Rattus norvegicus: one gene and its partners. The protein of the gene in region 2 purifies or fractionates together with the protein of the main gene of each other region. This does not show direct contact. Links are inferred from orthologs where the notes say so. Each region holds a gene or a part of one and is shown on either strand. Other genes may lie near its edges. The genes, in order: Thoc7, Ncbp3 and Thoc1.

Region 1 (3,916 bases), on a different chromosome or scaffold from region 2:
GCTGGGATTTGAACTCAGGACCTCTGGAAGAGCAGTCAGTGCTCTTAACCACTGAGCCATCTCTCCAGCCCCCAGTAGCCACTTCTTAACTGATCAGAAGTTTGTTTGCTTTTTTATTTTTTGGTTTTTTTTCGGTCCTTCTCTTTGGAGGTCTCCTTTATGTTTGTATAATACGCAGAAAGGACATTAGTAAAGGAAGAAGTAAAGATCAAACTCAGCTGTAATAATTTGATTACTTTTAGCAAATCAGTATTTGCTAAGTATCTCTAAATGTTTTTTCTTTGCTAATAAGTAAATATATAAGTTGCTGTAAAATAATAATCACATGCTAATTTATGAAATTTTGCTGGATTTACTTTCTGCTTAAGTATGAAAGTTGTGAGAACAAAATTCTGATGAAACTCTATTGTTAGGGATGATTTAAGATGCAGACACATAATTTTGATAAGATGAGGACAGTAGTCTCATTCTGCCTTTGTAACCAGAATAACTTATAAATTCACGTACACCATGTCTAGCAAAGAAAATGGTAAGGGTGGATATTCTAAGCTATTTCAGTTAAATAATTCGGTCAGAACTTTGTTTAGTTTACGATTTCTTTTTCTTCTCTTTCTCTCTCTCGTTAGATACAGCCAGTACCAGCGGATGCTGAGCACGCTGTCTCAGTGTGAGTTCTCAATGGGCAAAACGCTGCTGGTGTATGATATGAACCTCAGAGAAATGGAAAACTATGAAAAAATATACAAAGAAATAGGTAAACATAGTGCTTCTTTCTAGAATTGTATTTTTGCAGTTTAAAGGAAAAGCTGATAGCAGTATGTAGATTGTAGTAAGATACTGTCAGTAATTACAGTGGTAAAGAATCTACCATCTACAGCCACAGTGTCATGTAGTAAGACAGCACTTTGTGTTGTAGATATTTTTAGAATGTCATCGTCTGTTGTGTTGTCAGTGGAATGTCTACTTAAAAGCAGACATTATACGTCTTATTATAACTACCGTTTTTTAATAGAATGCAGTATTGCTGGAGCACATGAAAAAATTGCTGAGTGTAAAAAGCAGATTCTTCAGGCAAAACGAATACGAAAAAATCGACAAGGTAAGGATTTGAAGGACTTGGGTTGCAGATATTTTATTCCTAACTTCAGGTTCCATGAAATTTTTAATATTGAAAGGCAAAATCTGCACCGTGAATCAGTTTACAAAAAAATAATTAACAATTACACTTATTCTTAACACTGTTACTTAAAATAGAGAACACAAGATATGCTGAAAAATATTTTGCTGAGTTTTATTATTTATCCAAGAAATCTTCAGTATTTTTTACTATCTTCAGATCCTTTTCCCTAAGCAGTAGTACAGTTAGTCTGCAAATGTGAACTCTATGACAGACTGAGGTATTTATTTGCTAGTTTAATAAAGCTACTTTCAAGAAAAAGGAAAAGAATTTTAACCCTTCATTATTCATAAAGCAAACAAGCGTTATCCACATAATTCCCTAATAGCAAAGTTAAAGTCAAGGTCAGCCAGGTGGCCCAGTGGGTGGAGCCCTTGCCACCAAGCCTGCCGCCCACCAGCCTAGGACCTACATGGTAGGAGAGGAGTGAGTCCCTTGTGCCATCGCCCTCCCACACCCATAGGTATTCAAAAATAAAATAAGTGTAAACACTTTAAACACAGAAGTAACGTTTAGTCTTATTCTAATCTCTTAGGTTATCCTTCACTTGGTGTCCTATCTGGCTATCTGAAAGAACTTTAGTTTTATATGTGTGTCTGTATACAGCTGAGTGTAGGTGCCCACGGAGGCCATAATTGGCCCTGTTATCCCTGGAGTTAAGGCAACTGTAAACTACATGAGTGCTGGAGACTGAATTGGGGTTCTGTGAAACATTAGTATATGCTCTTAAGTGCTGAGCCATTTCTCTAGCCCTGGAAATTATTTTTAATACTAGGCTCTTCCCATTACATAAATTGGAAAAGGTAAGATAAAAGCAATGTTTAAAGTGTTGGCAGTGCTCTCATAATTCTTGGCCTTTTCTTGGTTTTTTTTTTTTTTTTTTGTTTGTTTGTTTTGTTTTGGTTTGGTTCTTTTTTTTTTTTTTTTTTTTTCCGGAGCTGGGGACCGAACCCAGGGCCTTGTGCTTCCTAGGTAAGCGCTCTACCACTGAGCTAAATCCCCAGCCCCTTTGGTTTGGTTTGGTTTTGGTCTTATTCAAGACGGATTTCTCTGTGTAATAGCCCCAGCTGTCCTGGAACTTGCTATTTATACCAGGCTAGCCTGGAGTAAAAAGGGATCTACTGGCCTTGGTTTCTGCCTCTGCCTCCCAAGTGCAGGGATCAAAGATATGTACTACCACATTATTGTCATTTCTTTAAGAAAGTGAATAAGAGTTATTTTCATTTACACATTTCTTTTTGATAATCCAGATTCAAAAAAAAATGCCTTAATTTGGCAAATATTTTCTTGTCTTTCAGAATATGACGCTTTGGCCAAAGTTATCCAGCATCATCCGGACAGGCATGAGACACTGAAGTGAGTATAGAGCTTATAGGGAGCTGGCTGTTATACAAAATGGTGAAGAGCTATGCCTCACACTAACTACCTGCTCAGATAAACAGAGTATACCCAAAGGAAAGGTCATTGTTTAGTATCACAGGGTCTTACACTGCCTGATGAAAGCCCTTGCTATCTCCAGGGTCACTACCTATTGGTTCAGAATAGATGTGTAGTATGTCCCCAAAGGAAATGGAGATGTACGCTTTAATCTATTAACAGAATACTGAATACCAATAAAGACTATGCTACACACTAAAACAGCTGAAAAACATGCAAACAGTAAAAAAAAAAAGAACTTTAAACCATTTCTGAAACATTTATGAAAGTTAAAAATTCCCTCTCAAATATTCTATACTAATACTGTATATTATTCAGAGATACAAATAGGTGTATCTAAAAGAAATTATGTAATTATATTTTTGTTATTATAAAATTTGCATCTATAGTACAATTTAGGAGCTAAGAAATCATCCAGTTACAAAATCTTGCCACAGGGTTATTGGATTCCTTTTTTATGGATGTTATGCATGCATATCTATGTACCACTTGCACACCGGGTGCCTGTAGCAGCTAGAAGAGGGCATCAGATCTCTGTGACTAGAATTACAGACACGGTCGTGAGCCACTGTTTGTGAACTAGGAATAGAACCTGGGTCTTCTGAAACAGGAGCAAGTGCTCTTAACTGCCCAGCCATCTCTCAAAACCCTTTTTATTTTCAGATTATTATTTAGTGGCCCAAATACTATATAAGTTTTCCCCCAAAGTAGCGAAATATAACATTGTTTTGTTTTATTTTGTTCCCTCAGGGAGCTAGAGGCTCTGGGCAAAGAATTAGAGCATCTCTCGCATATTAAAGAAAGTGTTGAAGATAAGGTATTTGAATATATATGTTAGCCTCTACGTGTGTGTATGTGTGTGTGTTTAGAGATAAACTTATATAAGTTGTTTTCTTCTTAACACAGCTGGAATTGAGACGGAAACAATTTCACGTTCTTCTTAGTACCATCCATGAACTTCAACAGACATTGGAGAGTAAGTAAAACCATTCAAAATTGCAGCTTCAGAAGACTTTAAATGACTGGGGAGTGCTTTGGTGAGAGAGTCTGCCTCCAGAATCCAGTGCTATATCTGGATGGCATTAGAAAACACTCTCTGTTCAACTTTCTGTATACAAACAGAAGAGCAGTGATTCTGTGGTAATCTGTGCTTTGCATGCATGTCTACTAATAAGAAAACTTCAAGAGTGATGGGGAGTGTTTCCTGACTAATGATTCAGGACACGTGCAAACTACTGTAAGTTGTTGGTATATTAGGCTGCCTACATGCTCAGCAAATGGGGGGCCCACCGAGAAATTGAA
Region 2 (5,050 bases):
CTGAGCACTTGGATTTTCTCATCAGTAAAATCCCTCAGGGGATCCCTAAGGGACAAATTAGCCACATAACAGAGCAACTGTAACTCAGTAAGCATTTAACAAGTGTTATTATTGTTGGTATTAATAAGAAAATGAATCAGTTGACACCTAATGTAGCTGTGGGTATGAAGAGACCTATTTCAACTTCCCTCTCTAAGTGGAAGGCTGGTCTGCTCAGGCGACTACTTAGAAGAATACCAGAAAACTAACATCTACTGGGTGCCTACTATGTGCGAAACACCAATCTAAGAGCTGCAACATTTCGTCAGACTCCTGACAGTTCTGTCTAATTTTGTCCAAGGTTACAGAGCTACAAAAAGAATTTGAATCCAGGAAAGTGGGCTTCAGAACCTTTGCTCAAAACCAATGGTTCCAAATCCTGTCCAATCCTGACTCCACATTAAATTACCCAGGAGTTACAAAAACAATAGTTACCTCTAGGGCTTATCCAACCCCATCTTCCCACGATTCTACCTTAAGTTCATCTGGGTGAGTAGCAGTGATTCAGGAGCATTGGTTAGGCCATCTTCCTAAGTCTTGTTTTCAGGCTGCACTATAGAATGAGCAATATTCCCCAACTGATGTCCAGGCAAACCTCCTGCTTTTTAAATGAAATACCTGCATAGCTGAGTATGGTGGCACACACCAATAAACTCAGAACTTAGGAGTCAGAGGCAGGAGGATCAGAGTTCATGATTAGCCTGGGCTACATGAGATTCTACCTAAATCAAAGACTTGGCAGAAACGTAAGATTTTGATTGCTTTCTATAAGCAATTGTTGACTAAAATCACACACAATAAAACAATGTTTTTAAAGTAAGGTTTAAGTCTTTAAAGTGAGACAGATATAGGTTAGACTCCTGAGTCTTTCATTAGCTCTGAGTAACTAATTAAACTTCTATAACCTGTTTCTTCCTTTGTAAAATAATTATTAAAAAATATACTCCTCAGAGGCTTGCGGTGAAAAACAAACATGTGCTTAACACAGTGCCGTAGGAAAGCACGTCCCTAGCAGACAGTAGCCATTTCCCCCATCCTGCAGGCTCAGGAGCTTCTGCTTTCATTGCCCAAGCATGACTAAGAGACTCACACAGCCCCGCCCCACAGGGCTTCCACATGCAGCAAGAAGGCTGCCTCCTGAGCCCTTTATAAACACCAGTATTTATAAGTACAACAGAGAGAGGCCTTTCGTATTCATGGATCTAGATAAGGCAATGAGAAGGATGTAGGCTCACTCAATCAAAGGCTCCCTTCTTCAAAAGTTGCTTTGCTAGTGAGTGTCATGGTGCACTCCTGAATTTTAGAACTTGGGAGGTAGAAGCAAGATCATCTTCAGTTTGAAATCAGTCTGGGCTACATGAGACACTGCCTCAAGCAAGCAAACAGAAAATTAGTAATTGGGCTGGGGATGTGGTGGCTTGACTTGATTAGCTTGAGTAAGTCTCAGAGTTACACCCAGCTGCACAAATAAACAAAAAACCCACCACTATCACTGCCTTGCTGTGAGTTGTAGGGAGTATTTTCTCTTTGAAAATAACTAATGGGAGGTTTATATGTACCATGTATCATTACCAACAAAAATCCCAGCTGCTCCAAGTGCCCTAAAAGACAGGTTCACAGTGAGACATGCACTTCCACTATTCTTCAAGGCAAAGAGAAGCTAACTAACATCACTATGATGAAAGCAGATGAGGAGGTCCAGAGGCAAGGATGCACATCTCACCTCTGACACAAGCCTCCCTAACAACTTCTTCTGTTCCACTGTTCTAGCTCTGAGAAAATCTGACAGCACCTCACCTTAACGCTTCTTCTTGGGTATTTTGAATGATGACTGGACACACAGAACAAAGCCAGAAACATGAAACGAAGGCACTCTTGGAACAGGATGAAAACATTTCACCTTACCTTTCTTCATCATGTCTCTGTCCAAGGCTACATTCCTCTGGGCAAGATTTACTTCTGCTCGAAAGTGGAAGCGTTTGGCTCGCTGTTCTTTCTTTTCAATTGCTTCCTAGAAAGTACAAAAAGAGGCAAAGAGATAAAGGGAGAATGAGGAAAGTTAAATCACAAACATGCTGCAACTTTCAAATAAATCAGAATAAATAAGTAACCTTGAATGTGTTTTGCAGAGAACTGGACATACGCAGTCTACAGTAAACCGGCTGAAATAGTCTCAATCCTATCACAGCCCATGACTGCACCCAGAACACAGGAGGTGGTCAAGAAGTCAGTGAGCACTGGTTTATAAAGTTTTCTGATATTTCATATACCACCGACAATCACACTAAGAAGTTAAAACAAATAACCTAACCTTTTCAATTTTCTTAGTGTAGAAATGGAGACAAAAGAAACTGGAAGGTTTGCAGGAAATATCTCCTCTAGCTAAGGGCAGAGCTGATCCAGTGCTATTTCTAGGAGCTCCACAACTACCATTATCATTTACATTGTCTGTGGGCATGGTAATCACACCTATTATGCTCTTCCACATTATGGATGCCTGAATGGTCCACTCCCTATAGCCACACCCCCATATAAAAATAACACCAGAGCAAAAATAGTCTCCTTTATTCCCGCCTTATGTGTATGAAATTGCCTCTTTTCATTCCTAAGTGACAAGGATGCATTAACACTGACAAAAAAAGAAAAAAAAATTCAGCTTTGTAAATTTCTTCCAAAAGTGAAAATAAATTCATGTCCAACTATGATCTTCTGATGGCTCTCAACAGCCCCTCAGCAACTGCGTACTGACTGAAGGTTTGACTAAAACCAGTTTATGGGTGTGAGGAAGCAGCCATGCTTCAGTTCTTTCCCAACAGTTATGCTCATCTGTGTCCCTGAAGTCTTCCTAGCATGAACCACAATCTCCTTTCCCAGCTTTTGTGTGTGTGCTTAGTGTGTGGGTAGGAATGTATGTGTGCATTTGAGGGTGGGGGAGCAGGTTGTCCTTAGTGCTGAGATTACAGGTGCAAACTTCTATGCATTTTGTTTTGCTTTGCTTTCACACGAGTGCTAGGGACCTGAACTCAGTTCTTATGCTTACACAGCAAGCACTTCACTGAGTCAGTAAATCTCCTAGCCAAATCCTTTTCCCGGGTACCTGTTTCAAGTATTAGGTTGAAAGCAGTCTACTTCTCCCCCCCCCAACCCCCCGGAGTTGGGGACGGAACCCAGGGCCTTGCGCTTGCTAGGCAAGCGCTCTACCACTGAGCTAAATCCCCAACCCTCAGCAGTCTACTTCTTAATGACACTGAGAACATTTCACTTTGTACTATTCTCTATTCCACTAGAAGATGTTCAGCTCTTTCTTCTGGCCTTTAAGTATCTGACACAAACTGAGAGGGAGAAATTATAAAAAGCCAAGTATAACATACTTACTTTTATTCTTGTTTTTAAAGATCTAATATATATATATTATCATTATATATATATATATATATTTTACATTTTAAATTGGGCCTGGAGAGATGGCTCAGCACTTAAAAGCACACGGGCTCTTACAGAGGACCAGGGTTCAGTTTCCAGCACCCACATGGTGTAGCTCACAACTGTCTGTAACTCCAGTTCCAGGGGATCTGATGCCCTCTTCTGACCTCCATAGGCACCAGGCAGGCACATGGTGCACATAACACACAGAGGCAAACACTGATATATACACAGAATAAAAAGTACAATTGAAATGGAAAATTCTGTTTTAAACTGAACAGCACACATTTAAATCATGAAGAAAGAAAAAGTCTGAATGAACTGAATTAAAGCAACGTATGGACAATTTATCACATGGGAACTAAGAGGCTTCACTCTGAGGTATGATAATGGAGGTGGTACAATGGTAACGCAATCACTTAGCAAAAGACAATATTGTCAGATGCTGGGGATAATCAGTCGGCATGGCCCTCAAAGCTTAGACATGCAGACAACTTCTAACCATTTTTCTAAGTTGGAAAGCAGTGTTTCCACAGATATACATTAATGGCTTTAAGCATCCCCGAGGCCAGGGGCATAGCATGACTGTGGTTGTGCTTGCCAGGTAAGCCTAACAACCTGAATGAGATTCCCAGTACCATGTAAAAGTCCGACCCTGCAGCATTTGTCTGTAATTTCTACATTCTTAGAGACAGGAGACAGAGATGAGAGAACACCTCAAAAACAAGGTAGGAGGGGGAATGGAGAGATAGTTCAGCAGTTACAATCACTGTCTGTTCTTACAGAGATCCAGGTTTGGTTCCCAATACCCACAGGGCAGCTCCCAACTATCTGAAACTCCAGTCCAAACGGATCTGAAGTCCTCTCCTGAGCTCCTCACATCCTAGTTCTGAATGTGGTACACTTAATACATACAGGCAAATGCTCATACACAAATTTAAAAATATTATCAATAATACTACTACCAGCAAAAAAAAAAAAAAGTCAGATGTAGTGGCATATGCTTTTGATCCTAGCACCTGAAATGCACAGGCAGGTGTACCTCTGTGGGTTTGAGACCAGCCTGGTCTACATAGTGAGTTCCAGGACAGCCAAGGCTATGCAGAGAGATCTTGCCTCAAATAAAACAAAAACAAAAAACAAACAAACAAAAAAGATGATAGGTAAGAACCAACACCTGATGTTGTTCTCTGACTTCACATGTGTTACAGCATGCACACTTTGACACAAAACACACACATCCATCCTACATAACAAGTGAATGTTAAATAATAAATATTAAAATAAGCATTCCCAGTGCAAACTCTTTCTTGGAAATGGTTAGCACAGACAACTAAGTTCAGTGATTATCTTTTCATGGATATGTGCACACACAAATGCTGCCTGAACGGTCTCAGGATATATAAGGACATCGTTGGGCAGACAGATGTAGATATTTGACATTATGAGATATGTGTATCATAGATAGATGAGATACATATCAGCAACAAAAGAAAAAAATGAGGCAAAAATATTTACCATTGTGTAAAAGGTAAAGACCACATTCACTAATTCTATCTGCTTATCAACCTGAATAATCACCGTCTGT
Region 3 (3,949 bases), on a different chromosome or scaffold from region 2:
CTTTAAAATCTTTTGCATTAATTGTTACAAATTCTTGGCTGAAATCCATTTTATCCCTTGCCTATTCAACCCAAGATTTAGCAATGATGTTTATTGCACACCTATGTGTTGTTCTTGCATGGTTAATATCACCGTTCAGTAGCTGCCCGTCCTTTGCCTTATCTAACCAATATTTTCCTAGGAGGTGGAAAATGAAGTGTTGCTCTCATCGTGTAACTCAGTGCTGCTGTCCACATCCCATCAACTGGGTGCAATCAAGTATTGTCCAGACTGACTGTTGCTGGCCTTTCATGACTTTACAATAAATTGTGATTAATACGAACACACTTGATTATACACTTATTATTGTGTCTCTAATGTGCTGTGGTTTATGTGTAACTTTGCATTGGTCTTTGTGGTAATCATATGTATAAACAAGCTCTGGTTGCTTATTTTTAGAAACCAAGGATATTTAATAATTAAAAATAAGGAAAAAGAGGGATTAACAACTTTTGACCTGGTCTCTTTTTAGTATTAGAGCTTGGCTGAAGAGTCAGATGAATTCAATACTATACAGTTTCTGCAAATAGCTAATAATCTAAGCAGTTAAACATCCATTTAAAATACAAGAAACTTTAGGTTGGCCAGTGTTATTTCAAAAGAAACACAAAGTTGTAAAAGTGATGAATTCCTTTGGACACTGAATTCTGTGATCAGTTTCATTACCTCACATACCTGTTGTTTATGTTTCAGGAACCTTAATTTCCTTAGCAATCTAAGGAAAGGACCAAATGTTGAATATTGTAGCAAGTTGGTCGATTTGAGTTGATTAATAATAAAATTTTGGGAATATTATGACATTTTGGACTATATGTTCTAATGCTCTGTAAAGTACCCAAGATTTTTATTAGATAATAACTCTGTAACACTGTGGGTAAGCCAGCATTTCAGGTTTGTAAAGTTTGCTAACTTACATGGAATGTGTACTGTAATGGTTTTACTCAGTCTCATTGGCTAGTTGGAGAAGGAAGTAACTTGGCACCTGTGTTTTCCCACTAAACCAGGTGAGGTGGGTTTACAACAAATACACCAAAACCATGTTTAGAGTGCACTGAGAATTAAAAACTATTATACAAAAAGCTTCTCGATAGTTTATTTGACCTAGAAAAGCATTCCAAAGAGAATTCTTTAAAGTAGAAATTGGATTTCCAGTGTTGTTTTAAATAAGGTGTTTAGTATTTTAGAATGCATCCTTGAATGTAAGAGAGAAGAGGCAAAAAATCCATTCTCCCTTTCAGTTCCTGAGCATGCCTTAATTTGCTTAGTGCAGAGGGTACCAGGAAGCTGGAGCTGTGCGCAGCCACTGCTTCCCCAGCTAGTGGAGTGTGCATGGTCCAGGCAAGGACACTTTTAACCTTCACCAGACACCAAACACCCACAGGAAATGTTGTATGGGAACAGAACATGAACCTTCAGCCAGCACCGCACATGCTCTGCTACATACAGTGTATTTTCACAAGTCAACTGACAGGAATCCCTGGGTGTTTAGAGACTTGAGGATGTCAAGTAATCTTTATAAAGCTAAAGGAGTAGTTGGGTCTTAGACTCCACTTCACATAAAGTTAGAGGCTAGCAAACATTTTCTGTATTGGCCAAACAGCAAATGGTTTGCAGGGCCCCTGGCTATCAGTCTGGACTCTTGCTGTAGTAGAGTAAACATGGCAGACTGCCAGTAAAACACTTAAACTATCCATCCTTTGCCAATCCTCTGCTTTCCAGCTTTCCAGTCCTAAGGTTTCAGAAGTGTCATCTTGTGATTTCAGAATACATTTTATAACTGATAGCATGCAGGAAACTAATTTGGGACAGGACTCTAACATACTCATAAATAGTACTCATTTAACTTCATTATAAAAATACTTACAAAAAGTCGTCTGTGATCTTGTGGTCCTTTTACTTTGGCCATTTTCCCACCCTGTCCTCCTATACTCCAATGCCTGTTCGGTATGTGGTTTTTTGAGCACCAGCTAACTGTACAACAGCTGTTATAAAAGTGTTTATTGTTTACCAAAACCAGTGAACCTTTTATCAAATGCTGCTTGGTAACAAAATCTTAATCACTGTTCAATAAAAAAGGAGAGAAAGAAAGAAAGCTAACTGTTTGTTTCAGTGTCATTAGTTAGACTTTCTGCAAGGTCACTTAACCCAGACTTGTTCAGTGCACCAATCAGGTTATCAGTTGTTGCGTGAACTCCTTCTTGATCTTGCCAGGCAACAAGGAGCTGTTTGGCTCTCATCTTCATGTCCTCACTGTCACATTCAATCTGCCTAATGTCAGAGTCTTTAATTTCCAGGTAAGGAGCCAAAATCTTCCACTGCTCACCAAGTTTGTTGGCAAATGACTCTATCTGTTCCCCTGTTAGAGGTTTATCTCGCCGAACATCAGGACCTAGAAAACAGGGGATATAAATTATGTGCAAAATATAGAGATGTGCATTTAAAATATCGGAAAGAACAGCAAAGCTAGAATTACCAGTGGGTTACTAATCCCCTAAAACTTTAAAACTTGAAAATTTCCATAGACTGTATACATCCTTTTAAAGCACCCATCTTCTTTGCCTTTTAAAATTATCATCTCCAAATTTCATTCTATAAAATGGACTTTAAGTGACCAATGTTTTTAACTTATTTTAAGTCAAAAGTAAGATAAAATGGTAGAACTGAGAAGTAAATCAAATTAAATAACAAAGATCCCCCAGTCTTTTCCAATTTTGTAAAACAGCCAAAAAAATTCAATTCTTACTTTCATTTTCCTTTAGTAAAGCATCATTATCTTCCTCATCTTCATCCTCACCTGTTTTTATTTCTTCAGAAGGGGGCTATAGTAAATGAAGAACAATGTTTAAAAGAACTTCAGTTTCTGAAGATAAAAGATCTTAGGTAGAAAGAGTGAGAAGCATGGGCAGGCAGGTTTGCAAACACCTAAGCTTTAAGGCAGTTCTGTCTAAGGGGTGACAGGGATTGACCATGTCCACCATTACCATACTGTAAGGAAACAGTGGGGAAGGCTCTGCCAGGTGACCTTCTGTTACTCTTAGATCCTGCTTTTGACAAAAGACAGTAAAACACTAGTAAAGAGGAAAATCTGATCTAGTTTACTGAAAATAGTAGTACTTTGGGTAAATTGCATACTGCACAGAAAATTACCGATATCTCTATGTTTTACTTTTTCTCTGTAAATTCAACAACATCCTTGCTCCCATTCTAAAACATGGGGGTCTGCAGACAACTAATTTTGTAGGAAAACCTAAACTGAATTCTGCTCAAATAATGATAATAGTTTTAAAGGAGATAATATCTAGTAAGGAAATGGGGAAAATGAAGTACATCACTTACTGGTAGTTCCTTGGCTAGCTTTATCACCATGTTTTCAAGATACTCTGGCAGACTCTTAAACTGCTGGTTAGTTGGCTGGAAGAAGTGAGGGCTTCTCCGGGCTAAGAGTCTGAGAGCTCTCCATCCATAATTTGAATTATTTACGGCTCTATAAGAAGAGATGTCAGCCTTGTAACCAGTTCCATAGTTATTTTCACACAATGAGTCACAAATTTATGTTCTATTGCAAATAACAGCAAAGTGTACCATCTTATAATTTGAAAGTCTATATAATATTTTGCTTTATTTTAGCAAGTCAATGTCCTGGCTGTTAGATAGACACTGTACAAAGAACCACTCATGCAGTTACACAGAAGCAAGGAGACAGTGAGAGAGACAACTGGTGAGCTGTCCCACATTGTATGGCACCAGAGGTGAGCTTCGGTTATTTCACACTCCTGTTTGACTCAAAGTCTAGTTTGTCTTATCTGCTGGAGTCTAAAATGTTCCAAATCTGGACAAACCTGAAAACACATATAGCTTCAAGTATTTTGAATAAGGAATCTGTGAAATGAGTGGTTATTATGTAGCAAAT

The links.
Region 1: the proteins of Ncbp3 (region 2) and Thoc7 purify together in Homo sapiens (co-immunoprecipitation; 3 studies listed by BioGRID and IntAct, with this or other methods). This does not show direct contact. The link is inferred for Rattus norvegicus from reciprocal best matches to the Homo sapiens genes NCBP3 and THOC7.
Region 3: the proteins of Ncbp3 (region 2) and Thoc1 purify together in Homo sapiens (co-immunoprecipitation; 4 studies listed by BioGRID and IntAct, with this or other methods). This does not show direct contact. The link is inferred for Rattus norvegicus from reciprocal best matches to the Homo sapiens genes NCBP3 and THOC1.

The regions. Positions count from the first base shown.
Region 1 is NC_086033.1:13,702,402-13,706,317, forward strand, and holds part of Thoc7 (THO complex subunit 7 homolog), read left to right. Parts: intron 1-626; coding exon 627-754; intron 755-1,012; coding exon 1,013-1,099; intron 1,100-2,475; coding exon 2,476-2,533; intron 2,534-3,364; coding exon 3,365-3,431; intron 3,432-3,520; coding exon 3,521-3,590; intron 3,591-3,916. UniProt on the Homo sapiens protein: Component of the THO subcomplex of the TREX complex which is thought to couple mRNA transcription, processing and nuclear export, and which specifically associates with spliced mRNA and not with unspliced pre-mRNA.
Region 2 is NC_086028.1:58,166,257-58,171,306, reverse strand, and holds part of Ncbp3 (nuclear cap-binding protein subunit 3), read right to left. Parts: intron 2,051-5,050; coding exon 1,945-2,050; intron 1-1,944. UniProt on the Homo sapiens protein: Associates with NCBP1/CBP80 to form an alternative cap-binding complex (CBC) which plays a key role in mRNA export. NCBP3 serves as adapter protein linking the capped RNAs (m7GpppG-capped RNA) to NCBP1/CBP80.
Region 3 is NC_086036.1:1,289,118-1,293,066, reverse strand, and holds the end of Thoc1 (THO complex subunit 1), read right to left. Parts: exon of another isoform or gene 3,532-3,949; intron 3,524-3,531; coding exon 3,376-3,523; intron 2,859-3,375; coding exon 2,783-2,858; intron 2,429-2,782; coding exon 2,133-2,428; 3' UTR 1,111-2,132; downstream 1-1,110. UniProt on the Homo sapiens protein: Component of the THO subcomplex of the TREX complex which is thought to couple mRNA transcription, processing and nuclear export, and which specifically associates with spliced mRNA and not with unspliced pre-mRNA.